Canis lupus familiaris: one gene and its partners. The protein of the gene in region 6 purifies or fractionates together with the protein of the main gene of each other region. This does not show direct contact. Links are inferred from orthologs where the notes say so. Each region holds a gene or a part of one and is shown on either strand. Other genes may lie near its edges.

The links.
Region 1: the proteins of DDX20 (region 6) and GEMIN4 purify together in Homo sapiens (co-immunoprecipitation; 7 studies listed by BioGRID and IntAct, counting the BioPlex papers as one, with this or other methods). This does not show direct contact. The link is inferred for Canis lupus familiaris from reciprocal best matches to the Homo sapiens genes DDX20 and GEMIN4.
Region 2: the proteins of DDX20 (region 6) and STRAP purify together in Homo sapiens (affinity purification with mass spectrometry; 3 studies listed by BioGRID and IntAct, counting the BioPlex papers as one, with this or other methods). This does not show direct contact. The link is inferred for Canis lupus familiaris from reciprocal best matches to the Homo sapiens genes DDX20 and STRAP.
Region 3: the proteins of DDX20 (region 6) and GEMIN5 purify together in Homo sapiens (affinity purification with western blotting; 6 studies listed by BioGRID and IntAct, counting the BioPlex papers as one, with this or other methods). This does not show direct contact. The link is inferred for Canis lupus familiaris from reciprocal best matches to the Homo sapiens genes DDX20 and GEMIN5.
Region 4: the proteins of DDX20 (region 6) and GEMIN2 purify together in Homo sapiens (affinity purification with mass spectrometry; 6 studies listed by BioGRID and IntAct, counting the BioPlex papers as one, with this or other methods). This does not show direct contact. The link is inferred for Canis lupus familiaris from reciprocal best matches to the Homo sapiens genes DDX20 and GEMIN2.
Region 5: the proteins of DDX20 (region 6) and SNRNP70 purify together in Homo sapiens (affinity purification with mass spectrometry; 4 studies listed by BioGRID and IntAct, counting the BioPlex papers as one, with this or other methods). This does not show direct contact. The link is inferred for Canis lupus familiaris from reciprocal best matches to the Homo sapiens genes DDX20 and SNRNP70.
Region 7: the proteins of DDX20 (region 6) and AGO2 purify together in Homo sapiens (affinity purification with western blotting; 3 studies listed by BioGRID). This does not show direct contact. The link is inferred for Canis lupus familiaris from reciprocal best matches to the Homo sapiens genes DDX20 and AGO2.

The regions. Positions count from the first base shown.
Region 1 is NC_049230.1:45,012,478-45,015,961, reverse strand, and holds the end of GEMIN4 (gem-associated protein 4), read right to left. Parts: coding exon 686-3,484; 3' UTR 501-685; downstream 1-500. UniProt on the Homo sapiens protein: The SMN complex catalyzes the assembly of small nuclear ribonucleoproteins (snRNPs), the building blocks of the spliceosome, and thereby plays an important role in the splicing of cellular pre-mRNAs.
Region 2 is NC_049248.1:15,351,553-15,355,498, reverse strand, and holds the start of STRAP (serine-threonine kinase receptor-associated protein), read right to left. Parts: upstream 2,801-3,946; 5' UTR 2,468-2,800; coding exon 2,356-2,467; intron 1,684-2,355; coding exon 1,548-1,683; intron 1-1,547. UniProt on the Homo sapiens protein: The SMN complex catalyzes the assembly of small nuclear ribonucleoproteins (snRNPs), the building blocks of the spliceosome, and thereby plays an important role in the splicing of cellular pre-mRNAs.
Region 3 is NC_049225.1:55,799,058-55,802,292, reverse strand, and holds the end of GEMIN5 (gem-associated protein 5), read right to left. Parts: intron 3,079-3,235; coding exon 2,982-3,078; intron 2,336-2,981; coding exon 2,168-2,335; 3' UTR 501-2,167; downstream 1-500. UniProt on the Homo sapiens protein: The SMN complex catalyzes the assembly of small nuclear ribonucleoproteins (snRNPs), the building blocks of the spliceosome, and thereby plays an important role in the splicing of cellular pre-mRNAs.
Region 4 is NC_049229.1:17,472,640-17,476,801, reverse strand, and holds the start of GEMIN2 (gem-associated protein 2), read right to left. Parts: upstream 2,801-4,162; 5' UTR 2,750-2,800; coding exon 2,613-2,749; intron 2,220-2,612; coding exon 2,135-2,219; intron 576-2,134; coding exon 486-575; intron 1-485. UniProt on the Homo sapiens protein: The SMN complex catalyzes the assembly of small nuclear ribonucleoproteins (snRNPs), the building blocks of the spliceosome, and thereby plays an important role in the splicing of cellular pre-mRNAs.
Region 5 is NC_049222.1:108,014,585-108,017,717, forward strand, and holds the end of SNRNP70 (U1 small nuclear ribonucleoprotein 70 kDa), read right to left. Parts: intron 1,499-3,133; coding exon 1,411-1,498; intron 1,330-1,410; coding exon 675-1,329; 3' UTR 501-674; downstream 1-500. UniProt on the Homo sapiens protein: Component of the spliceosomal U1 snRNP, which is essential for recognition of the pre-mRNA 5' splice-site and the subsequent assembly of the spliceosome. SNRNP70 binds to the loop I region of U1-snRNA.
Region 6 is NC_049238.1:64,448,322-64,452,322, forward strand, and holds the start of DDX20 (probable ATP-dependent RNA helicase DDX20), read right to left. Parts: upstream 2,801-4,001; coding exon 2,753-2,800; intron 2,681-2,752; coding exon 2,473-2,680; intron 1,466-2,472; coding exon 1,371-1,465; intron 1-1,370.
Region 7 is NC_049234.1:35,893,113-35,897,274, forward strand, and holds the start of AGO2 (protein argonaute-2), read right to left. Parts: upstream 2,801-4,162; 5' UTR 2,769-2,800; coding exon 2,747-2,768; intron 1-2,746.

The DNA of each region.
Region 1 (3,484 bases), on a different chromosome or scaffold from region 6:
CCACCCCAGGCAGAAGATAATTACACCCGTCCTTTAGATCCATCTCTGCTGTGTTTACCAGACTTAGTTTTCACAGCCCCTCCTGGATCCACTGAATGGAGTTGACTATATGGCAAAAGTCCTCAATTTAGAACACACTCATTTTCTTGGGGTTATTAGTCTATTTAATTTTCTTGGTCCAATGCTTTCCTTTTACAGTGCTGCAGGCTTTTTGGGTTCAAAAGTCACACGGCTAACCAGTGACAAGTTATTTTCCTTGCTGCCCTTTCCAAGACCCCACAAAATGACTATTGAAAGAGGGTTTCAGAGCAAAACAACACATACCTAGCAATTTTTCCACTTGGGTGGTTTCACCTTTGGACTTCTTTGCCAAATTCTAGGGTGGATAAGTCCAGTTATGAAAATGTCCCTCCCAGCTTGCCTTGATCTTTAAGACCCTAGCTGTGCCCAACTGCAGAGCACATCTAAGCCTAGACTACTGACGAGACTTAGAGACCCGATCAAAATCAAAAGTGAATTTAATAATTTGTATGTTACAACCTAAGAAACTATTTTCTTTACAGTTACTGCCATATACTTTTAGCTTGTGTACAATTTCACATCACCGAAAAGCTTGTGTTTCTCAGCTCGAGCCCTTAGAGCCCCCCACCAAGGCAAGGCCCAGCTGTTTCCTGGTCTACAAAAGTCAGAAGTTGCTGATCTTCTGCAGCAGGGTTTGGCGCCGTTCCTCAGGGCTAATGTTCTCAGCGATGGACTTTAAGAAGCGCTGCTCATTTACCTTCTGGAGCAGGGAACTACTAGAAGGATTAGCCTTGCTTAGGGTTTCATAGCAGGTGAGGATTTCCAAGGCCAAGACATACAGCGGCTCGCACACCTCGTGGGGGAGCATGGCCATGATGTGCAGAACGTGACAGAATACCTGGGTATAAAAAAACAGGGTTTCCTGGGTCAGGTCCTGTTCTTGTCCTTGAGCCCAAGGGCCAACTGACTGTATCATCCTAACGGAGTCCAGGAGATTGGTCAGACTGTTACAGAGAAGCCTGACTACATGGCTCCAGCCTTCTATAGGAAGCCAGTTACGACAACTCTGGCTGCAGAGAAACTGGAAAACTCTCAGCAAGAGTACGGACAGCTGGAGCTCCGGGGCAAAGGGCTTCAGGTTGAGCAGAGGAACAAATTGAATATATTCCAGGCTATAAGGGACATGTAGGAGTTGTTTCTCCAATAGTCTCCTGGTCAGCTGGTAAAGGTACTGCCACTCTTGGGAGCTGCACCAAGGCATGACTTGTACCAGGGCCACCAGAAAGCCCTTGCTGAACAATCTGACCTCTTCAGGGTTACCCACATCTACCACCAAGAGGGACAGCATCTGCTCAGAGATGCTGCTGGAAATGTAGCAGCACTCCATCCAGGCAAGAAGCCCTGTGCCTGGCCCATACCCAGGGTGGGCCTGGGAAGTCCATTCATCCTCAGAAAGCTTGCAGATCTCAAAAAGCGTGGCTGGCACCTCACATTTGAAGTGGCCCTCAAAGAGGTTCTTCATCCTCAGGCGCACTGTCCAGTCGAGCTGCTCCAACTTCCGGTGGAGCCAAGACAGGGACTTGATCCAGGTGTCTGGGGAAAATGTCTCAGCATTAGCCAGTACGATCTCACAGAGGATCTCCAGGATATGGACCACCAGATCCTTCCCATCCAACAAGAGGCACCGTTTCTCCTTGGGGAGCTGCCAGTATTTGCTGAAGCAGTCCAGGAGCTGGCACAAACTGAAGATGAGGGGGAATGGAGAACAGGTCTGGAGCCAGTATTCCTCTAAACATGCATTTGCTTCAAGAGTCTGGAGGAAAATCTTCAAACTGAGGTCTACCTCTTTGACATCAAGCATCAAGAAAGGCAGGACAAACTCCTTTAGCACCTCATGTGGCTCAAGAAGAGCAGCAACCGGGATACCCTGGGGCTTCACAGGACTCACCAGGCAGCCCAGGAGCTCCAAAAATTGCTTTTCTTCCTTAGGTGTAGAGAACTTTGTCCAAACAGTTTCTTTGAGGCATGACACCACAAAGGTAGTAGATGCATTTGGATCCTGCTCTTCGGTGAACCTAAGGGCAGGGAAGGCAGAGAGAATCTGAGCCAGGAATTTGTGGGTGCCAAGGTTGACCACAGCCATGCTGCACATTTTCTTCACTGTGATCTCCGGGTGCAATATTATCAGGCGGGCCACAGAAGCCACCGCTTTAGCTAAGCCCTGTTCAGAGGCACTCTGCGCAAGCTGGTTAAAAGTTGTGTTGAGGTCCTCCTGAAACCCGTCCAAGTAAGCCAACAGGTTCTCAGAGAGACCCTTCCGCCCCCAGGAAAGCAGGGTGCCTGAGAGGACTTTATTTTTATCTGGCAGCGAGAGGTCTGCGTAGCATTCCAGGATCAAGCCAATCACTTGTTTGATCTGAGATTCAGGGATGGCTCTGTCTGTCGCAGTAACTTCCATCACTGTTTCCAGCAGCTTTAACACCAAGTCTGGCTCTCGGAAGAGAGCCCAGTTATTAACCAGGCAGGCTAGCCACTGGTCTGAGAAGGCCCACTTCTTCTCAGAAGCAAAAATGTAGCACATTTCCATATGCCGGTCCATCTTCTGCTCAATGATGGCCATGGCAATCGAGGCGGTGATGTCCTTCTCAAAGCCCTTATTCTTCAGCACCCTGTTTGTTTTCCTCAGGAAGTCTTCGACACACTCTGCTAGCTCTGAGACCACCTGCCGCTCCTCCTTAGACAAGCTGGTAGAATCAAGGTAGAGCTTCAAGTTCTGGCTGAAGGAAGTCAGGCTGTCACACAGCCGGTAGCTGTCATAACTTGTCCCCTGGCTGCTGTTGAGCATGGTCTGCAGCTCCTTCCCCCACTCCCGCAGGAGGCTGCACATGAACTCAAACCCAGTGAAAATCGTCTCACTTGGAAGCTTGGCCAGGGAGGTCAGGCTGACGTCCCGTTCTGCCTCCTTTACCTTCTCTACTAGTGCCTGTTGGTAATACGGGTTCTGGGTGTCCGAATTCCACACGGAGATCACTGTGGCCAGTTTGTCCAGATACACAGTTGCAGACACTTCCTGGGGGTCATCCTCCATCAGTGCAAATACTGTTAGCATGTCTGCTAAGTTGGCTAATGCGCAGCATTTCATCCCTGGGCACAGGATTCTATTTTGGATTTGCTTTAGCCCAGTGAGCAGCATGGCCAACAGGGGCATAGTGGGACACACCTCTGGGTCTGACTTAAACCTCTTTGGAGGATGGGAGAACTCATCTGAAGAAGACAAGTACTTATGGGCCATTGTTCTAAACTGGGAGAGCAGAGGATCCTGCTGATTGCCTTTGTGCTTCATCATTTCCCACCAGACACTGAGGAAAAAGGCCACATCCTCTGAAGAAGTGTCAACAGACATGTGCTCCAAAAAGCGCTCTAGTTCTGCATGGCAGATGGTGGTGGGCAGGGCCATCAGAAG
Region 2 (3,946 bases), on a different chromosome or scaffold from region 6:
CAACAGGGCACAGTGCAAAGCCCTACAATGGTTATGAAGAAAGACATAATAGAAATCTATTCATTGAAGGCACAGAAAAAAGTTCAGGCTGACATTTATAACTTTTCTTGTTGATCTCTCATCATCTCAAATTTAATTCCAGGTAAGCACTGTATCGCCCTCTCCTTATTTAAAAAAAAATTGGAACTTATTTTTTAATCTTACCTATGGTAAAATCCATTCTGTGATATAGAAATCTACATGTTTCAACAAATGCATAGTCATAAATCCATTACCACCATCAATCTACCTTCATTTTTTATAAGACACTTTGTATATTTGATTTGCTTAGAACAAAGAAGTAACACATTAACAATTGCTCCCGTTTGGAATTCTGAGAGGAGAGAGGAAAACAAAGCCATTTTGACTTTCCAGACTGGAGTCTAACAAGGTTTACTATCGCACAATAGCTCTTGACATTGCCTTTATCAGTTTAAACCTCTCAGGGTTAAGTCATAAAACACAATTAGGAACTAGAATACCAAGATTATATAAAATAGGAAAGTGCCCTGAAGGGGAAAGTGGGTCATTGCAAGTCACTCTAACATATGCAAAAGCCAAAAACCAAAATGGTAAGGTGTATTCTGGCAAACAGTAAGTTTAATATAACCAGACTGTAGGGCATATGCTGTGCAGTGTCAGACGATGCTGATAAATTAGGATGAAGTCAAGTTTCAAACTGGCAACAACTGCAATTCAATCTTTAGGCCAGTGATTCTAAGGCCTGACATCAGAACCAACCAGAAGAACTTTAGGAAAGGAAAACACTGATGTTGGGATTCCATCCCCAGATCAATTCAGAATTTCTCAGACACATGCATATGAATATTTTAAAGCTTCTGGGGTTATTTTTGGGTTCACTCAAGGTCATGAACCACTGAAACTGCACAGGGAAGACAGGAAGATCACTGGAGAAATGACATGATAAAATTTGTTTTTAGGAAGCTGGGAAGATGCAGAGACAGAAAGATAGTGGTAGAGGCATAAAAACCATCATAGTAGACACTCCGTTGGTATACAACATAGACATAGAGGGGAAAAAATCAAGAATATTTAAATTTCAGCCTTAAAAAACTTAAAAATGAAGAGTATTTGAGTTTTAAATAGGTACAAAGCTAGTTAACAAAAATGGAGTGAGACAGGGCTAAAAATCTGGGCCATCAGCAGTAGGGCATCACAGGAATGGTATTACTCAGGAAGCACATGTTGAGCATTTTTAAGCACAACAACCAAGATTCGTTATCTAGAGTGCTTATCGACAATACAGATTCCTGGTTCCCAATTGAGACATACAGAATAAGTCATTTAAAGTCTCTGAAAATTGATGAGAACCACTGAAGAGAAAAAAGCAGGAAGAACCAGAGTGGAGTTTTTAGAAAAGATCAAACATCATGTGCTCTATATGGCAGGCACGGAGTCAAAATTTTATGAACTGAAGCTGAAGTTTTGAGTACTTCACAACACAATCCACGGGGATCTCCAACACCCGCCAATTTGGCTATACTTACGCAGTGAAATCTGCAGCTGCTGTAGCTGCTTTGGTGGCATCCTTATTCAATGTCGCGCCCCAAACAGCACCCTTATGACCCAAAAATGTTCCAATCCAGTCTCCTGTATCTCCCTGGCGTAGCATAGGTTTCCCGTCTAAAACACATTTAAAAAGACATGTGACTTAGGAGTTCGGATTACTTAAAATCAAAGACCCAAACATAAAGTGACCGTGATAAATGCCAAAGTGTTAAACGGCTTTTGTTGTGTAACTATCGTTATTCGCTGGGGTCACTAAGAAAAGTCCAGAAATAAACTGAAGCGCTGAGCCAGACATTCTCCCTGAAGCATTTATAATTCGGTGGGACTAACGCTGATCCGTATCAAAATAATCTAAAGTTGGGCCTAATTTTGCACAAACTTAACCTAAACCTCGGTTTCCAATTGAAAAATGGGGCTAATGCCATAAAGGAATGTCCAATAAATTAACAGCAATGACAAGTCTCTAAAATAGGGAAAGGTATTACTTGGCTTGGCATATTTTCTCCACCCCCCCACCCCCCATCCTTGAAAGATTTATTTAGAGAATACGATGGCCGGGGTGTCTAGGCAAGTGTACAGCCCCGCTTCTCCAGAAATGCCAATTTCTGGAAAGTGAAAGGAGAGGCCTGAGTTGGGGGCAGTACTTACACTGTTTTCCCCATCAGACCACTGCTGGCCCCAACCTCAAAGACTGAGATTCCCCCTTTGTCACTGGGGAGGACCGGCCACACTACCTTCTGGCCCAGTCCTAGCCGTGAGGGACCCGCATCCAGGGGCCCCGCTCACCTTTGCAAGCGCTGATCAAGAAATAGCCATAGGGCGTGATGCCACTGAAGGCCAAATCGACCACAGGCCTCGTGTGGCCCGAGCAGGTGAGCGGCGTCTGCCTCATTGCCATGGCGGCGGCGAACCGAGCGATGCGGCGGAGGCGTCGAGGGTCGTCGTTTGGGCTCTTTCTTTCGTCTGCCGCAGAGCCTCCGGCTCAGGGCCCCCGCCCTGACACTGGGGGCTGGGGCTGGGCCGAGAAACAGGAAAAAGAGGCCAATCGGGTAGCACCGAGGTCAGGAAAGGGTTGGGGACGGGTCAGGGAGCCTGCGCCCGGCGACCGACAGCCGCCAAGGGAGGGAGAGGGAGGGAGGGAGGAGAGTAGGGGAGGGGGAGAACCGCAGAGCCGGCGGCCACGACCCGCACCGTCCACACCGGTACTGGCAGGAAGTGATGACACCAATGACGCCAGCGTCCGTCGGAAGTGACGATCTGGCAAGAGGGCTCGTTTGCCCGGCAGCGGAGCGAAGAGTGCGGCAGCGCGCAGGCGCGAGGTCGGCGCACGCTGGGCACGTGACGCTGGCCCCACGCCGGCTGCGGACGCCGGGAGGAGCTCTGGTCTGCGCGGAGCCCGCGGGGCGCGGTCTGAGCCGCCGGCCGCCGTCTGTCGGTCCCCGGGCGGGGCGTGGTGAGTGCGGGAGCCGTGGCTGCTCGTCTCCGCCGCGGCCCCGGCGGCCCCTGGGGATTACGCGCCGAGCGGTGCCCGCGGCCGGGCTGTGCTGTCGCCTGAACATCTAGGCGGGGAAACCGGCAAACATCGTCTAAAAACTTTTTTTTTTTTTTTTTTCCCAGTTCTTATCAACTACAAAGGAGGACCCTCTGGTGTTGTCTGCAAGTTAAGGGCCGTGAGAAAAGTAATTTCTCCAGGCACTCCTATGTAAAAGTCCCCGTACCGTTAGCGTTTTCGTCCTGAGTGTTACGTTACCTTCAAGTGGCTTATCCTGGGCGCCCGGGTGGCTCGGGGTGTGATCCCGGGGCCCTGCGATCGAGTCCCGCATGGGGCTCTACGCAGGGAGCCCGTTGCTCCCGCTGCCTGGGTCGCTGCCTCTCTCCCTGTATCCCTCATGAATAAATAAAATCTTTTTTAAAAAAATAAATGACTCAACCTTTTAAGGACCTCAGAGGACTCTGGAGCAGTGGCCCCCAAACTTTTTTTTTATTTTTTAAAGATTTTTATTTATTTATTCATGAGAGACACAGAGTCAGAGAGAGAGGCAGAGACACAGGCAGAGGGAGAAGCAGGCTCCATGCAGGGAGCCCGACGCGGGACTCGATCCCGGGTCTCCAGGATCACGCCCTGGGCTGAAGGCGGCGCTAAACCGCTGGGCCACCCAGGCTGTAAAACTCGAGTCTGCACTCTCGTTGTGCGGATAATGATGTAGATGTTACATACCTGTACGTTATAATTAGGCGTAAACATACTAGAAGGATCTGAAAACTCAATATAAATAAAAACTCTGGGGAGCCTGGGTGGCTCATGTTTGAATATCTGCCTTTGGCTCAGGGTGGGATCCCGGGATCCTGGGATCAAGTCTCCCATCAAGCTTGATGC
Region 3 (3,235 bases), on a different chromosome or scaffold from region 6:
ATGGACCAGGCAAAAGAACAACATGGGCAAAACCACTGAAAACTTGGTAGTTCCGACAGCCGAAGAGACCAGTGTGGGTGGAATCTAGAAGCAAGGATGAGAGTCTAAAAACAGGAGGCCAAGGGGTAAAAGGTAGGATCAGGCAGGGCCTCCTGTGCCCTGCAAGATGATCTTTTTTCCACTAACAATGGGACAGTACTGAAATAATTTTTAACAGGAAATTGACAAGATTTGGTTTGTAATTTAGACTTGCATTGGTAAATGAAGAATGGAGAATCAGTAATAAGAGCAGATAGAGACAGTGGGAGGTGAGAGCAGTCATCTGGATAACAAGATGGTGGTTTGGATTGGGTAAAGGACCAACACTACTTCTTCAGTTGCTTAGTGAGAACTACTAAGCATGAGTCAACTCCTCAGTGCTTTGGCTCTCTGTGGTTCTGATAATTAGGGAGATAGAAATTATCTAGTATGGGAAAGAGAAGAGGTTGTTTGAAGTGGAATTGTGTCACCTGTTACCTTCTGGGTAGTTTTATTGATTAGCTGTCGCTGTCAAGTAGTAACGCTTGTTCTTACCAAAGCAGTAATCGAGGACTGCAGGATTCCTCTAAGCACAGATGATGGTTCTGGTAAATCACAAAGGAGTTTAGAATGTCTAGTTTAATAATACTGTTCTTTAATTAAATGATAGGGAATAAATATTTTTTTGTCTCTGCAAGTGAAGTGTGTGTTCATTTCAGCAAGGACTGTAGAACTGGTATCTAGTCCTCCACATAGTCATGTCTATGTATAATTTTTTGCAACCAAGATTCTCCATCTCTGGTAACCTGCATCTTCTTCCTCAAGCTCAAGTAACTAAAGAATTAGGAGGATCTAAATTCTACAGTATTTCCTTTTTTGGGTTTAGCATTTTTAAATCTTAAAGCTAGGTCTAATTAAACAAACAAAACTCCTGGTCAGTCAGATCTTTACATAACGGTCTCTTAAAACTTTCTCCTTCCTAGAGTTCCTGCTAGTGAATTTTATTCTTGTTGTCCACAACCATCTCAACTTAGGAAATAACTGAAAAGTAAACTGGACACTCAAGCAGAAAAGCTTTCACAATGAATTCCAAAAGAAAATAGTTACATTATTGGTAAAGAGTGCTCCCTCCGAACCCTACCCCAGACTATTTCTGATTTTTACATTCCAGCAACTGGGATATTACAGAAACATCTGTTCCTGACACTGTTCAACTATTTAACCAGAGAAAAGAAAAGACCTCAAGAGAATGCTCAATAATGGGAGGAGAGGGGGAACGAACAGGTTTTATAATTAAATAGTATGTAGGATCCCATTATGCTGAAGTTGGAGTCAAATGATCCAAAAGTTATATATGCAAAATTACCCATTTTTCTTCAAAGAACATCTGTGGTTTTAATTCTCAAAGGGTCCTGTGATCCAAAAAAGATTAAGAACCACTGAAACAGTAATTTCTTTCTGAGCTGTTCAATCACCATTACATTTTACAAAACTGAAGGGATAAGACACATCTGAATTTCAGTTATTTGTTCTTCTAACACTTTAGTAAATGATTTGTTCAAATAAGCAATTACATGAAACAATAAAACCAAGTTTTTGACCTAAAGTTCAGATGGATGGTAGAGTCAACATGATGGGTAAAGGCCTATTTCACATTCTAAGTGAAGTCTTTGAAAGAATAGAAGGGGGAGAACCCAAATTAACAAATATAAGAAAAATAATACCAAGTCATAAAATGGAGCAATTCTGTCTCCAACAAGAATGACATGTTTACCATTAGGCTAAGTATTTTTAAAGGTAGTTTGTGTTTGAGAACATAATACTTTGGGTAATTAAAAAGTTTCTCCTCTTTGGGTGAAACCTGCATAAGGCTTTAGAGATGACCAACAATCACACTGCAGGTGTTCTGAATACCTACTGCTGGCTTTTCATGATCCTTCCTCCAGTAGGAAACCACAACTGAGTCCAAAGTCCAATTTCACTATGTCTAAGGGTAGAGTCAATTCAAACTTGACCCCCATTTGTGTTATTTGGATCACTGCAAAAACACCCAGGGATCAAAGTGAATGTCTGGCATGGTGTAACTGCAGAGGTGAAAGGTGTCATATGTTCTGAATTTGGCACAGTTTTCTTAAAGTTCCTTGAAAATTCATGTGCAGAAGGTCTGGCAGTATCTTTTGTAAACTTTAGTGTTGCCATATTTCTGAAGGAGCTCTTGGGCCTGTTGCTGCATGTCCTGGGTCACGCTGCCAGGACACTGGGACCCAATGTGAAGCAGGATAAGACAGCACTCCAGCACATCTGGGAAGGGCCAGGTCTGAAAGATGACACAGGGATGAATAAGGAAGCATTTGCAAATGAGCCACATAGACCTGCATAGAGAGAGGCACCAGCGCCTTCAAGTCTCATTTAGTGATACTTCTCAGCACAACTTAGCAATTTCTCCTTCAGGGCTTTTCATCAGTTACTCTAAGGATAGGGAATACTCAGAACAGATGGATACTGGGATATCCTCTTCAAATGAAAGAATCTTTTTCTAGAGCCCCACTCAATTCAAAACATGATTCTCCTTTTACTAGCAGTGCCACATTCAAATACACTCATCCATCTGTAACTATCAAATACATGGTACCAACTTTTTTTTATTGAAGTTCGATTTGCCAACATACAGTAGGACACTCAGTGCTCATCCTGTCAAGTACCAATTTTAATTTTATTTTACCTCCCAATTCCAAAATTTGTTTCATTTCTCTGAAGAATGAGGTATAAAATTGTGTTGTCAATAATCCAGTTCTCCCATTTTAGTTAACCAAAGACCACGGGATCCTAAATTTTTAAGCATATCCAGATGTGTAGAGATTTCCGAAACAGTACAGAGAATCAGATAACCTTAAAGAATTTGGTTTAGTAAATTGATAATATAAAAAACCATGTTTTACCAAATGAACTGCTATAAATCTTACCTTAATACTCTCAGGAAATTTAGCTATTCTCTCATTTGCCTCTGTAAGCCTTTTGGTTAATTCAGGCAGAGAAAGTGGCTGATTTTTTTCTTCTTTACTAGTAATAATAAAAAAAAAAGCATAAGTCATATGCCTTGCATCACATAACTTTTAACTGTTATCCTATAAATAAAATTCTTTTGTCATCTGGGTCTTACCTCTCATCTTTAATACCAAGGTCAAGAGGAGGGGATTTAATGTGATGTGGTAAAAAG
Region 4 (4,162 bases), on a different chromosome or scaffold from region 6:
ACTCATATGCCTGCCTGCTTGCATGCACTTTCGCTCTCTCAAATAAATAAATCTAAAAAAAAGTATAATGAATCTTATTTTTCCAACTACAGTCTAAGAACAGAAATAATTCTTGAGGGAGAGAGGGGTTTAATTTTTATTTAAAATTCAATTAGTCAACATATATTACATCATTAGTTTCAGATGTAGAGTTCAGGAATTCATTAGCTGCATACAATACCCAGTGCTCATCACATCATAGGCCCTGTTTAAAGCCCACCACCCTATTACCTCATCCTCCCCCTCCCCTTCAGCAACCCTCCGTTTGTTTCCTATAGTTAAGAATCTCTCATGGCTTGTTTCCCTTTCTGATTACTTCCCAATCAGTTTTCCCTCCCTTCCCCTATGATCCTCTGCACTGTTTCTTATATTCCATATGAGTAAAATTAGAACTGTCTTTCTAATGGAAGGGGTTTAATTTGATAAAATGATTAAAGTACGCTCACCTGTCGAACAGATGAAAACTGTGCCACTTGTTGTTGTTGCCACTGAAGTGTGGGAGAATATCCTTCAGGAGCAGGTTGGCATCCTGAAAGCTAGAGATCAGTTCATAAATATTAGAATCGATGTTAGTGTTATAACTAGAACGTCATTCCTCTGCAAAGTAAAAGCACAACCAAGATGAAGAGTAATAAAGTAAATGATTAAGGCTATCTAAGAAAGATACTGTACTCTGCAGATGCCAAAAAGTAGGCCTTTCACTTTACTATTTATGTCCAAGTTTGAACATTAGGAAAAGATCCTTGTGGGGTCACTTCAATAAGAGCAATCTGGAATGGTTCATATTTGGAGTTTCTAAACTAAGAAATCTAAATTATATGAGCCCTGAAGACATAATTTAGTCCTACCTTTCTATAAGAAGACAATTATTTGAAATGAGGAGACATAACCCACATAAAGAATTTGGTATTGGCAGAATGTACTCAAATAATCTAAGACATTTGACTTTACAAAGGCTACTTCAGCTTCCTAAGACAGCACAATAGGTCAAAATACTGCCTTGAAATACATATTGCCTTGAAATAATAGTGTGTTTTTTAAAAGCTAGGTAGATAAGATATTCTCATCCATCAACTAAAAATTTCTGAAAATATGTGAAACATTATAGCATCTGAATTAAAATTTCATAAGAGGAAAAGGACCTATCACAATTTAAAAACTGCTGCTCTCCTTTGACCCTAGGTTAAATAATATGTCCTTAGAGAGACTTTCTGTGACAATTTTAATTGTCAACAGTACAATTGTAAACAAGTAACCTTGTTACTTATTGGTCATATACAGGTTAATTTTCTTCATATCAAGTCAATATAGATGTGCCTAGGTGGCTCAGTGGTTGAGTGTCTGCCTTTCATTCAGGTCTTGATCCTGGGGTCCTGGGATCGAGTCCTACATCTGGCTCCCTGTAAGGAGCCAGCTTCTCCCTCTGCCTGCGTCTCTACCTCTCTTCTCTGTGTCTCTCATGAATAAATGAATAAAATCTCAAAAAAAAAAAAGTCATAATATATAATTACTTTGTTTGCTTGTTTACTCTGTATTCCTCAGGAGAATGTAAACTCTGCCAGGGTAGGGATTTTTGTGCCTCATTTTCTATTGTAATCCCAGGGCCTGGCACAACCTAGTCACTTCACAAAAAATATTCAAGGTGTGTGTGCAAGTAACTAGAAAAATGTAAGACACCTGAGTTTCTATTCTTAAAAAAACAAAGCCCAAATTCAGAACATGCAATATTGCACTAAATAGCATTAAACACCAATCCAAGAATAATTATGAACAAGACTGGAAAAAGGTTCCTTAAAAATAAAGAATAACGTAAGTAACCTATTTAGAGTCCTTTAGAATTGGATCACAGCCCTGAAGTATGAGGAGTCTCCACGAATGCCAGGGTTACTGGAAACTGCTCTGGGGGCAGTAAATGCCAACTGTCCTTTTGAGGGTTAAAAGTCCAAGCTAATGTTCAATGTCTCAGGAAGTAGTCCAATCTTACATAAATCATAAAGATACTACAGGATACCACAGGAAGGCCACTGAGCTTTCCATTTGGTCGAGGGGAGAGGGGGAGGAAGGGGAGAATCCCCTGCTGGGTCATAAAACTCACAGAAACATTCACACTTTGCTTCCTTTTCAACTTCTTTGGGTCAATCTGAGCTACCACAACATCTGGACATTGAGCTGCTTCGATCCTACAAATAAGTAATAAATGCAAGAAATGTGATTACGGCTGTGCTTTGTTCCTGTGCAGTAAAACGAGCGATCCATTCTACAGTTCTTCACGAAATCAGAAAAAAAAAAAAAAAAAAAGGAAGCGCAATGCACGTACTACACAAGGTTATTTCCGAAACTAACTGGAAAGCAAGGAAATCCAAAAGCACACATCTTGACACAGGTAAACAGAATTACATTCATAAAAACTCGCCCAGGTAAAGATGTCATCAAGTGATCTTGATTCGACCCTACCTCGCGTGAAAGAGGGAACGGCCACTGAGGCGGGGCTTTATCACACGTAGGTAGGGGTCGAGCTGTGCCCGGGGGCAGAGCGGACGACCAGCCCACCCGCACGGGGCCAAATCACTCACTGGACCCGCCTCAGGTATTCCTGAGGCGTCCTCGGTGGGACGGAGGGATCAAAACTCTCTGTCAAGTCGCACGGTTCCACTGGCAACAGCCTGGGCATCAACTCTTCCACTGCGGATTCTGCTGGCATCCACGCCATGGTTTTTAATCCCGCCAGTCCCCCTTTGGCGCATGCGCCAAGTGCAGGTCACGGCGCAGGCGCAGACCTTAAGTGCGGAGTCTAAGGGGGCGGAGCTTAGGCAGTGTAATTGCGCTTGAGGAAGCCGGCCGGTTGTCCCAGACTTAAGGCTCGGGTGGTGTAAGGAGACGGTGAAGTTTAGTTCCTTGCAGAAGTGGTCCTGAAGTGTTTCTGCGTGTTTCCCTCTGTTCTCTCTCCTAAGGCCAGGGTAAACACTGAGGATTATTAAGCTTTATGCATCTGCAGTAGTAAGGGATCCTTGGATATCTTTTGAATTAATGAACAGTGTTATTGTAATTACCATTTATTGAGCTCTCTCTCTCTATATTTTTAATTGTCTACAAGAAATCCACTTCATTTAGTTGAGCTCTTAAACCCCTGGTAGACATATCACGTATGTTTCCTCGTTTAGTTTTTACACCAACTCTTTGAAGTAAGTGGTATTATCCTGGTTCTGTAGGGGAGCAAATCGATATAAAGAAGGGTTAAGTACTACAACTGTGACTTTCACTCCCACAGTGAGACAGAGGGTAGAAGAGCCATTTCCAACCCAGATTTATCTGATGCCAAATGAATGAAATATTAATTTTCCAGAGAAATTTCTTGCGCTTGGCTACTTGAAAGATCCCTTTGTATTTGCTGGAAATGAATATTAGTCGTTGAGTAGACATCGCTTTCTTCTTCTTCTTCTTCTTCTTCTTCTTCTTCTTCTTCTTCTTCTTCTTCTTCTTCTTCTTCCTCTTCTTCCTCTTCTTCCTCCTCCTCCTCCTTTTTCTTGAGAGATCTCTTTGTTTAAATGAGTAGTGAAAGGATAAAGCTAATGCCAATACCCAAAAGTTACCATGATTAATCTTAGGGCCAATCTTGTGAGGTAGGTACTATTATCTCCATTTTACAGGTGAGGAAACATGTCAGAAATGGATTAAGTAACTTGTGCTGGGCGACATTCCAAGGAACAATGAAGGTTATATCTGATTCTTTCTAAAGAAGCTCTGAGTAAATATAATTGACTTTTATTTCCTAAGATTATGTTTATTTTTAAAGCTTTTTTTTTTTTTAAAGCACTGCCTTTAGCTTGCAAGTAATTGATTTCAAAACCAGAATGTAACTTTCTCATTTGAAGATAAAGTGAGGACAGTTCCTGGGTTAAGACCTAAAGGAATTTGTGCTTATGAACTGTAAGTAAACAATTGGGAGATTCAGAAACACACTACTTGACTGCAAACTAGAAGGTTATTTGGTTAAAAATGTTACTGATTTTTTTTATTTTTATTTATTTATGATAGTCACAGAGAGAGAGAGAGAGAGGCAGACACAGGCAGAGGGAGAAGCAGGCTCCATGCACCGGGAGCCCGACGTGGGATTCGATTCCGG
Region 5 (3,133 bases), on a different chromosome or scaffold from region 6:
TGACAGAACCTCTCCTATTTCTTGTTAATCCTCCACTGTCACTAGCCAAGTATGAAGATACTCATGGTCAACTTCCTATCATGAATCGCAGGCCCTTTGCCCTTCCTGCAGATGTTCTGCAGCCTGTGCTCCTACTTCATCTCCTCAGCCCTTTCCCCACTCTACAACTCAGTTTCCCTTTCAAACAAACTTGCAGCTTCCACCAATCGAGTGTCTAGAGCCCTATCCAGCCACCGAGACCTGAGTAGGGATGGCGCCCCAGGGAATGTATGGAAGATGTTTAAAAAAAATCACAAAAGGATAAAGAACCCTAACAGAAGGAACCCTTAGAGCACCTCCTTATTCCATTTTAAGGTCTGGTATAGTCCAGGTAGCCCCAGACTTAGGTCACAAAGCCCAAGTTCTCAGCAGGCCCAGGACACAACCAAAGTAGAACTATCAACAGTCAGGTGATGACCTTCTGGGGAAGGCAAAGAGCAGTGAAAAAGAAACCAAGGTGCTCATTATCAACAGGAAATTAATTTTATTTTTAAATCCAAGGGGCCAGAACAAATAAGGGAGACTCCTACCCTTGGCTGGCAAACTTAGGTGGTGGCCAAGAAGATTGGGGGAGAGGATGACAGTAAATGGGTGGGTAGGAACACGTCCAAATAAAACAGTGGGGGAGGCCCTCTTCACTCTGGTGCAGCCTCCATCAAATACCCGTTCTCCGGAGCAAGATACCCATCACCTCCCTCAGACTCCATGTACATGTCTCGGCTTTCGTTGCCCAGACCCTCCAGCCCGTTGTCCTGGCCACCACCACCCCCACCTCGGGCCTCATCCCTGCCCCGTTCACCACCCCGCTCCCCCCGCTTGTGCTCGCGATCCCGGTCTCGATCGCGGTCCCGACGCCGCTCTCGCTCGCTCCGGTGGCTCCGACGTCGTTCCCGGTCACGATCCCGACCCTTCTCCTCTGGACCATCAGGGCCATCAGGACCCAGCTCCCCAGGAGGCCCATCGTCAGGGGGCGCATCACCGGCCTCAGAGGGCTCCGCCATGTCACCGCCACCGCCGCCGCCACCACGTAGCTCCTCCTTGCGCTCGCGCTCCCGTCGTGCCCGTTCTCGGCTCCGGCTACTTCGCCGCTTCCGCTCCCGGTCCTTGTCCTTACTCCGCTCCCTGGAGCGCCTCCGCTCCTCCTTGTCGCGACTCCGTGAGCGCCGCCGCCGGTCCCGAGAGCGGGAGCGTCGCCGTTCTCGCTCCTTGTCTCGCTCGCGGCTTCGTTCCCTGCGCTCCCGCTCACGGTCCCGGTCCCGGTCCCTGTGGGGAAGCGGGGAGGGGCCGGGCCTGGATGAGGTGGGCAGAGGTTTGCGGCAGGGTTCCCCATGTGACCACCCCGAGCCCAGGAAACCAGCTGCCTAATCTTACCTCTCATCGTAGCGGGAAGTATCGTCCCGGCCTGAATGCCGGATGTTCACGTCAGCCCCGCCTCTTCTGGTCCCGCCTAGGCCACCTCCTGGGGTGGGGGCAGGCGAGAGAGGGTCAGTCTGGGTAGCTGGCTTAGGGAAGGGAAAGGAGGGGCACCAAACAGCAAAGGAAAGGACTGCAACCACCTCTGCGAGGTGCACTTTTAACAGGACAACCTTGCTTCAAAGACACATGAAGACCGTCACCAAGTGCCCAATGGGAAACACCTGCAAGTTCACACTTGAACTTGCACTCCAAAGCGCAGATCCCTAACTGCTAGGTACCACCGAGCGGCCAAACCCTTTCCCCTCAGGTGTCTTCTCCCACCAACCAAAGCCACTGACCTTTTTTTTTCTTTAAGACTTTGAGACAGAGCCAGCATGAGGGGTGGGAGTGTGTGGAGGGGCTAAAGATGGGGACAAGAAGACTCCCCACTGAGCAGGGAGCTCAACTCCAGGACACAGAGATCATGACCTGAGCCGAAGGCTGACTCCTGACTGTGCCACCAAGGCACGCCAAGCCAATAAACTTTCTTTTTTTAAGATTTTATTAATTTATTCATGAGAGACACAGAGAGAAAGAGAGAGACAGAGAGGCAGAGACACAGGCAGAGGGAGAAGCAGGCTCCATGCAGGGAGCCTGATGTGGGACTTGATCCCGGGACTGCAGGATCACGCCCTGGGCCAAAGGCAGGCGCCCAACTGCTGAGCCGCCCAGAGATCCCCCCAATAAACTTTCTAACTGAAAATGTGATCTGCCTCAAAACCTCCAATGGTTTCCCAATGCTCACCTTTCAAACCAGGAGCCCCTGGTTCTTTACATTCTGGGCTATTCTCAAGCTCTTTTCCGTCCTAGTTTGGGGGATCATTCATCTTTTTCTCTAGAATCTTACCTTCCTGTGGAGTGAACTTGTTCATCCTTTATGTGTCAGCCCATACATCACTTCTTCAGGAAGCCTTCCCTGACCTACCAGATTAAGCTGTTCTCCACTATATACTCACAGCCCACATACATTTCCTTCCTGAACCTTTAAGGGGGAGCTTCACATTTCCTACATCTGTGTGAGTTGAGCAATGCCTGCCTCTCCCGGCAGCCTGTGACGCACTGTCAAAGTCGGACTACATCTGGCTCTGCTCGTTGTAACCAGCATGTGGTATAGCACCCAGAATATAAAAGTCTATGTACTGTCATCAAATAACTGACTGAACAACTCTAAGAGGAAACAAAAGACTCCTTCTTCAGATGAGAAAACAAAGACAGTCGCTTATCCACAGGGACTTGGCAACGAAGGTGCAGAAATGGAACAGGACTGCCGGCTGACTCCAGAACTTGGCCCTCTCGTGCACCCTTCTGCACCACACTAACCAGAAGAAAGCTTCAGTGAGGCAGGCCCGAGTTCCATATAAGGAAATGACTTTTCGCAGTGCTGGTGAAAAAGGAGAAAGGCTGCTTGGAGAGCAGACATTCTAACCAGGACAGGCAACTGATCAGGCATCTGGAACATTACACGTATGGCAAACAGACCACTGTCTTCAATTTTCAGGTCATGATCCAACTATGGAACCCATCTTCAATTTGATGGGTTGGAACCAACACATTAAAAAAAAAAAAAAAAAAAAGTAAAATACTAGTATACACTGCCCGTAGGAAAGATAATTACTATTCATAAAACTTCTGTTTTGGA
Region 6 (4,001 bases):
CATTAGGGACCTAAGTGTACGCTGCAGAGTAGAGCTAGCTGTGTGACATCTGGGGAACTGTTTTTAGGAAGAGGACACAGCAAATGAAAAGGCCTTATGACAGTAATGTTTTTGATGTGCCTGAGGAACAGCAAGGAGGCCCATGTCACTGGACCAAATCAGGGTCAGATATCTAGGTCCATGAAAGAGAGCCTTGAGACTAAGGTAACTAACTATGGGAGGACAAGGTGAAACTACATGTTCTCAGCTACAAGAAGAAGAAAAAAAAAAAAAAAAAACCTAGGGAGAAAATATGCCAAAACAATTCACAGCAGTTTCTGGGTACATGAGATTATGTGTTGTTTTCTGGTACTTCTTTGCTTTCCTGAATTCTCCAACTTTCAAAAATGACTATGTATTACTCTGAGAACACAAAAGATCTTTAGTTCAAAAATACAAATTTGGTTTATGGAACTTATTCGGGATTTTAGCATTTCACCTACTGCCAAATTGTCAGAAGCCAGAATCTCAACTACATCTCAAATTCACAAGTAGAACAGCTTAGGCCTTTGGGAAGCAAAAGGGCTTCCTATGGGCACAACCCAGGATTTGGTAGACATAGAGGAATGTGGATATGCTGGCATACTGTTTATACATAACACGGGCTCAACAAAACTTTGTTAAAGAAAGGATCCCCAAACCTAAGTCTCTTACTAATTTGGGCAGACCATCTTTAGACCTACTCCAAGAAAACCTAGAAATGGGAGACCAATAGGGTATACTCACAGAGCTCTAAGAATCACCTGCAGTTACCAGCAGCAATAGCCAGCGCACTGTCTTCTCATCAGTCAGGCCAAATACTAAATCTTACCACAATCGGGTCAGCAAGTAAAAGAATAAAGAAACCCTACCTGTATTCTCAGGTAATGCAAAAACCGACACACGTGGCAGACATAATCTATTAGAGATGCAGTGATAGAAATTCCCAAACATTAAGGATGCAGTGATAGAAATTCCCAAACACTAACGACGGAACCCTGGTCACTGTCCACACCACCACCATCCAATAGCTTTAATGTCTCCTTAACTTCTAGACCTTTCATTTGCTTGACTCAAGCATTCATCAAATCCATCTGTCTCTCGGGAGCTACTGGTATTGCATCCGACCCCGTGATAAAGTCCACATAACAGGGACGCCTGGGTGGCTCAGTTGTTGAGCATCTCGCATCTGGTGATCGCAGCCCCTAGGAGGCCCCCTGCATGGAGCCTGCTTCTCCCTCTGCCTGTGTCTCTGCCTCTCTGTGTGTGTCTCATGAATAAATAAAATCTTAAACACACACACACACATCCACATAACATGACCTCCTTTGGGTCCTCCAAATCATACTCACCTGGGTACTTTGGTTTTCGAGGACGAGAGAGTCCAAAGCAATGGTAGAGAACACACAGGTTTTCCCAGTGCCAGACTTGGCTTGAACAATTAAATCTGAGGGGGGAAAAAAAAACAAAAGAAAATAGATCACAAGGTAGCACGGGACTAAAGAAGCTTGGATACCAACACGAAATCACACAACCGGAGGTGTCTCCAGGGATCACCTGGTTGGCACCTTCGTTCTTAGCTAACTCTTAAATAAATAAATAAATAAATATAAAGAAAATAAAATAAAGATAAAAATAAAGAAACAAAAAAAAGAGAAGGAAATAGAAGAAAGAAAAAAGAAAAAAAAAAAAAAAAAAAAAAGAAAGAGAAATAAATAAGAATATAAAATAAAATAATAAAATATAAAAAAAATAAATAAAGTAATAAAAAAAAAATATAAATAAATAAAAATATAAATAAATAAAAATAGAAATAAGATAAATATAAAAATAAATAAATATAAGTAAATATAAATAAATAAATAAAATATAAAAAATATAAATATAAGTAAATGTAAATAAAAATAAATATAAATAAATAAAAATATAAATAAATATAAATATAAATAAATAAAATATAAGTAAATATAAATAAATATAAATAAATATAAATAAGTATAAATATAAATAAAAATAAATATAAATAAGTATAAATATAAATAAAAATAAATAAAAATAAATAAAAATATAAATAAATATAAATAAATATAAGTAAATATAAATAAATAAATATAAAATAGAAATATAAGTAAATATAAATAAAAATAAATATAAATAAAAATAAATATAAATAAATATAAATATAAATAAATAAATATAAATAAATATAAATAAATATAAATAAATAAAAATAAATAAAAATAAATATAAATAAGTATAAATAAGTATAAATAAGTATAAATAATAAATCAATCAATCAATCAATCACACACACACACACACACACACACACGGATACAGCCTCAGGGCACGTCCGGAGGCGGGCCTCGGCCCCGAACCTCCCGGTCCCTGCGAAGGGGCCGCCGCCACCTCCCGCCCGAACGCCGCCCTCGGCCCGGCCTCCTCCGCCCTCACCGAGCCCGCAGCGCCCCAGCGGGATGGCCTTGAGCTGCACCGGCGAGGGCCGCTCGAAGCCGGCCGCCCGCAGCCCGTCCAGCACCGGCCGCGACAGCAGCAGCGACTCGAAGTCGGCCGGCTCGGCCAGCAGCACGTCCCCGGTGCGAGCCCGCGGGCCGCCGACGTCGTGAGCCGTCCGCAGGCTCCGCGCCGGCCCGGGAGCCGCCTCCGAGGCCGCGAGCGGGGGGTCCACGCGCCCCGCCGGCCCCGCCGCCCCCGCCGCCCCCGCCGGCCCCGCCGGCCCCGCCGCCGCTAACGCCGCGGGCGCTTCAAACGCCGCCGCCATCGCCGCCGCGCCGCCGGGTCTCGCGGCGCCGCCGGGTCTCGCGGTACTTGAGGCGGGGGCGGGGAGCCCGCGGACGGGAACGCGGAAAACTTTATTGTCAGTCCTCGCGGGAGACAGCGGGGCCGGCAGTCGGCTCGGCGGTGCGCGCGGGGCACACCCCGCCCCCGGGCCGCCGAGCCCTCCCCGCCCGCGCAGGGCGCCCGAGCGCCGCCTGGGGGTCCGGGTCGGGTCCGGTCCGGCCGCTGTCGACTCGGGGCGGCTCCAGCACCCTGTGCCCTGGCCCCGGCGGGGCACGCGGCTCCCCGAGCGACCCCGCCACCTGCCACCTCCCAAACCCGGAGCGGGCCCCGGAGCCCCCTGACCGCAGCCCTGCGCCTCCAGCTGCGCCTCCACCTGCCCCCGCGCACCCCGCGCGCCCTCCCCGGGGGCCACCGACGGTCCGCAGCTTCCCCTTCCCGGAGGTCTCTGCTCAGCGCCTTCCCGAGGAGCCCACGCCTCACCTGCAGCACCGCGATGTGTGCTTTTTTTTTTTTTTTTTTTAATTTAAATGTGATTAGCCAGCCTGCAAGTGCATCATTCGTTTCAGATGTGGGGTTCGGCAATTCATTCGCTGCAGATAATACCCAGTGCTCACCGCATCACCCCATTACCCCCCCCCCCCGCAGCGCCCCCCAGTCTGTTTCCTAGAGCTAAGTCCCTCAGGCTTTGGCTCCCTCTGGTTTTCTGTCCCTTCCCCCATGACCATTGCACGCTTCCTTATACTCCACATAGGACTGGAACCACGTAATCGTCCTCCTCTCAGCATAATACGGTCCCGGTCCAGCCACGTCACTGCATCTTCACTCCAGCAGAGTCAACAGTGTCACGTCGACCTCACGCGCACAGCATAGGGATTCGACCACCCTGCGCATGACTCGGCTCATCACGATCACGCTCCAATCTCTATCACCTGTTTCACCCCTACCTGTTAGTGTTCTCTAACAGAACTACCCCACCCCCTCCACTCGCCCACCTTTCCCACTACTCTCTGTCTCTTGTTCTGCCTTATTTTTCTCCACGGTACTTACCCCTACCCTAAGACTGTTTATTGTCTGTATCCCCCACTCTACTAGGACAGGAACTTGTCTGGCTCTCTCCTGTGTTCCTAATGGGGACAAAATCAGATCTCAAAACATAGGAAGTGCTCAACATTTATTGAACA
Region 7 (4,162 bases), on a different chromosome or scaffold from region 6:
CATTCAACCCCAACAACAAACTAATCTGTTCATCTCTGAAGGCTCCGGGTCGCTGGAGAACCCACTACCTGGAACCACCAAACTCTCTCGAATAGTTAGAATAGTAAGAAGTAGCGACGTACCGAACCTCAGAGCACAAACGCTAATTCACACGTGGAAAGCGTTTATCGTGGGCCTAACACATAGCTACTGCGAACTCTACCTTTTAAGTCAATTTACTCAGTACGTCGCTTAATAAGTGTATTAAAATCGGAAGGAGCAAAACGATTTGTAATTTTTCTACAATCCAGACCGAGCATCTTTTCATTCTTCTAAAATAGGAAATATAACATTAAAAAAAGTTTCATTCAAGAAACTACTCCAAAAGCTCCTTTTAAGCCAAATTAAAAGCCTCGGTGGATAGAATAAAACTGAACTGCACACAGCCTTATAATTACAGCACACTCACAGAGCCTGAAATTTGGGTTCATTCCCATCCTGCCATTAGCTTAAGAACTATCCTACAGACCCATTTATTTTTCAACCAAAGCTGTCCAATTCCAGGGCAGGTTTATCTGCGAACCACGGGGCCCTCTCCCCACCACGCCACAATGCAGAGAATCGCAGCAGAGCCAGATCCTTCCAAAAGCTGTTGGTGACCAGAAAGGAGCCCGGAGATCCAGGGGGGGCTACAGGTTTTTGAAAACAGAAATGCGAGAAAAATACCCCCCGGCGCACAGTTCAGGGTAAGCAGAGCTTCGCCAAGCTCTTGTTTCGATCACACCTGAGCGAGCGCATGCGCACACCGGTCCAGTCGAGATGTAACAGGTATTTCTTAGTGTGGGTCAAGGTCAAAAGGAGCGAAAACCACCTCTTTGAGGAGGGTGTACAGTCAGCTTGGGATCAGACATATCATCCTAATGCTCACCAGCCACATGACCTTGGCAACGTTCTTAACCTACGTGAGCCTCTGCCGTCTACCTTCAAAACGAACATCACCAATTTGCCGAGCCATCCTGTGGGTTAACTGGACACACAACACAAAGCCTGACCTTCCTCAAGGTTCTCTACTTTTTCTGGGCCCTCAACTTTTAAACTGAAAATCTGAAAATAAATAAATAAATAAATAAATAAATAAATAAATAAATAAATAAATCCACACTGTAGTGGCTAAGACTCGCTGGGATCCCTTTACAGGGATTCCTGGGAGATCCCCCCTTGCTTGGCTAGGTAAGGGGGGGTGGGGGGTGCCCAAGACCTGCCTGCCCAGGGTCTCAAGAAGCCAAATCTGCCCTCGGGACGGTGCCCACATAGCCCAGGGCCCTTCCCCACCAGGCCTGAGGAACCTCCCAGATGCAGGATTAAAACCATTCCTCAATCAAGCTGCCCAGAGTCTGGAGAGGCTTAAAAGTTGATGGAACTCGGCCTTGGACAAGCTTTTAGATTAAGTGACATCAGGGGGGAAAAAAAAGACACTCAGAATTCACAAGGCATAGAAGTGTTGGTGGACAGACACAGCAGCCAGGGCCCACGGCAACAAGGGGCCTGAGTGGATGGAGGGGGGGCTTCCAGACCCCCGCTGGGGAGCACGTCTGGGCGGGAGCCGCCAGGGCCCCATCAGCACACCTAGCGAGGGGACCGAGCAAGCCTGCAGCGGCCGGGGCCTGGCAGACAAAGGGGACAGGCGATGCCCCGGCCAAGTGGCAGGCCCAGCCGGGAAATTTAGGAGCCACGTGCCTGGCGGGAGAAGGAAAAAAGCTTTACAACACTTGACTGTTTTCTTGGCCCAGCACCCCGGCTGCCCTTCCACGGTGCGTCGAAAACAAGGGGGGGAAACGTGTTACTCCTTTAAGTTTTTTAGAACTTTTGCAAAGAAAGAGAGCGGCCGGGCGAGGAGGGGTGCTAAGGGAACCGACACTCCTCCTCGCCCGCTTCTAGTAAATTGTAAAAGGCAATTAACACTTGAATAAGCAGCCGGCGTGTCTGGAATGAAAATGAGACGCACGCAGTCTTAGGGTTTTAAGGTGCCGCTTCCCGTCCCTCTCGGGCTACAGTCCTCGCCACCCGCGGGAATTGGCCACAATTCAGCCTTTCCAGACTTTCCTTCAGAGAAGGGGCCGCAGAAGTGCTGGCAACGAGAAAAACGAAACTGAGTGCGCCCCAGGCTCGCCGGGCTCGGGCTGGCTCCGCAGCCGCGCGTCCCCGGCCCCCGCCGCCCGCACCCCGAGCTCGGCGCGACCCGGCGCGACCCCCGCCCCGCCCCCGCCCCGGCGCCCCGCAGTCCCCGCCGTCCCCGCCGTCCCCGCCGACCCCCGGGGCGCGGCGGGCAGGCCGGGGGCGCGGGAGGCCGGGCCGGGCCGGGCGGCGGGCGAGGCGGGCGCGGGCCTCGGGCCTACACGCGGGCCGCGCGGCCCCGGCCCCGGCCCCGGCCTCCGGCTCCACCCGCGGGGCCCCCGGGGCGCGGGGCGCGGGGCGCGGGGGGCGCCAAGGCCCAGGCCGCGCGGGGCGCCCCGACGACCCGGGCCGCGGAGGGAGGCCGGGCTGCGCGCCCGCGCTGGGCCGAGGAACGACCGCCCCCCCGCCCGGGGCCCCGCCGCCGCCCGCCCCGCAGGCCCCGCGCCCCGGCCTCGCCCGCGCCCCCCGCGCCCCCCGAGGCCCGCGCGCCCCGCGCCCCCGCCCCGCGCCCCCGCCCCGCGCCCCCGCCCGCCAACCGCCGCCGCGGGGCCGAGCGCGAGCGGCCGGGCCGGCGCCCCCCGCGAGGACTCACCGGGGCCGGCTCCCGAGTACATGGTGGCGCCGCCGAGGGGCTCCGGGGCCGAGGGGCGGCCGCGCGCGCGCCACGGGCCCCGACGCCGCGAGCCGCGAGGGAGCCGCCGGCCGCACGATCCGCCCCGGCGCGGCCGCCTCGCCAAACAGGTTTACCCGACGCGGCCGGGGCGGCGGGCGGAGGCGGCGGGCGGGGGGGGAGGGAGGGAGGGAGGGAGGGAGGGGCGAGCGAGAGAGGGAGGGGAGGAGGGAGGGGAGGGAGGGGAGGGAGGGGCGAAGGAGAGGGGAGGGGGGGAGGAGGGGAGGAGGGAGGAGGGAGGGGAGGGCGGGGCGAAGGGGAGGGGAGGGGGAGGAGGGCGGGGCGAAGGAGAGGGAGGGAGGGAAGAGGGGAAGGAGGGGGAGGAGGAAGGGGAGAACGGAGAGGGGGAGGAGGGGGCGGGGCGGCGCGCGGGCGGCCGGGAGCCCGGCGGGGGGGCGGGCGCGGGCCCCGCGGGGAGGTGGAGGTGGGGGCGGGGGCGAGGGCGCGGGGCCCCACCGCGGGGGCGGGGCGCGGGGGCGGGGCGGGGCCCCTCCCAGCGGCTCCGGGGGCGCCGTCTTCCCCTCCTGGGCGGAGCGGGGCCCGCGGGGCATCGCCGCCGGAGGCCGGGAAGAAAAGAGCAGAAGCCCCCCCTGGTGTCCGCGCCGCCTCCTCGCATGGGGCGCCCGCTCCGGCTGGGGGGGCGGCGCACGGCGCCCCCCCCCCCCGCGCCCCCCCGCCCCCCAGCGGCCCGGCTGCTGTGGCCGTCCCCGCCCCGGCCCCGGCCCCGGCCCCGGCCCCGGCCTCCCCGCCTGCCTGGTTTTTCAAGTTACTACCGAAAGGCGACCGTGGGGAAGCTCGCGCCCAGCCCGGAGCTTGAACTTGAAGGCGCGGGGCCTGCGCACGACCACACCGCCACCTCCCGGCCGGGAGCCCAGAGCGTCATGGAAAAAAAAACTTGAACAGTGAGTTTGGGGCGCGTGTTAGCTGCGTGAGGTCCAAGCCAAGCCGCCGGGAGGGCGGGCGCGCGCCCTTTGCCTCTGGGACCCCGCCCCGTGCTCCCCGCCGTGCTCACGGAGGCCGTCCCTCGCCCCCACCCGGGCCCCGGCTCCGGCCGCGGTTACCCCCTCCCTCTCCTCGTTGATGGGGGTTACAAGTCTCAAGGTGACACGAAGTCCACACTCGCTGGTCGCCGATGTAACCTACCCGCCTGCGCTTTCCTTCATCCTATAAACGTGTGCTACCTGCGTACTGGGTGCGAGGACCTGAGTGTTCCTCCTGCCAGGGTGATGCAAAGACCAAGAGCCCTGCCTGCAAGGAGCTTAGCATCCTAAGCAGGCTTTGCAAGTCTCAAGAACATCCCTAAATAAATGCCAGAAAACCATGGTTTCCTCCAGAGAG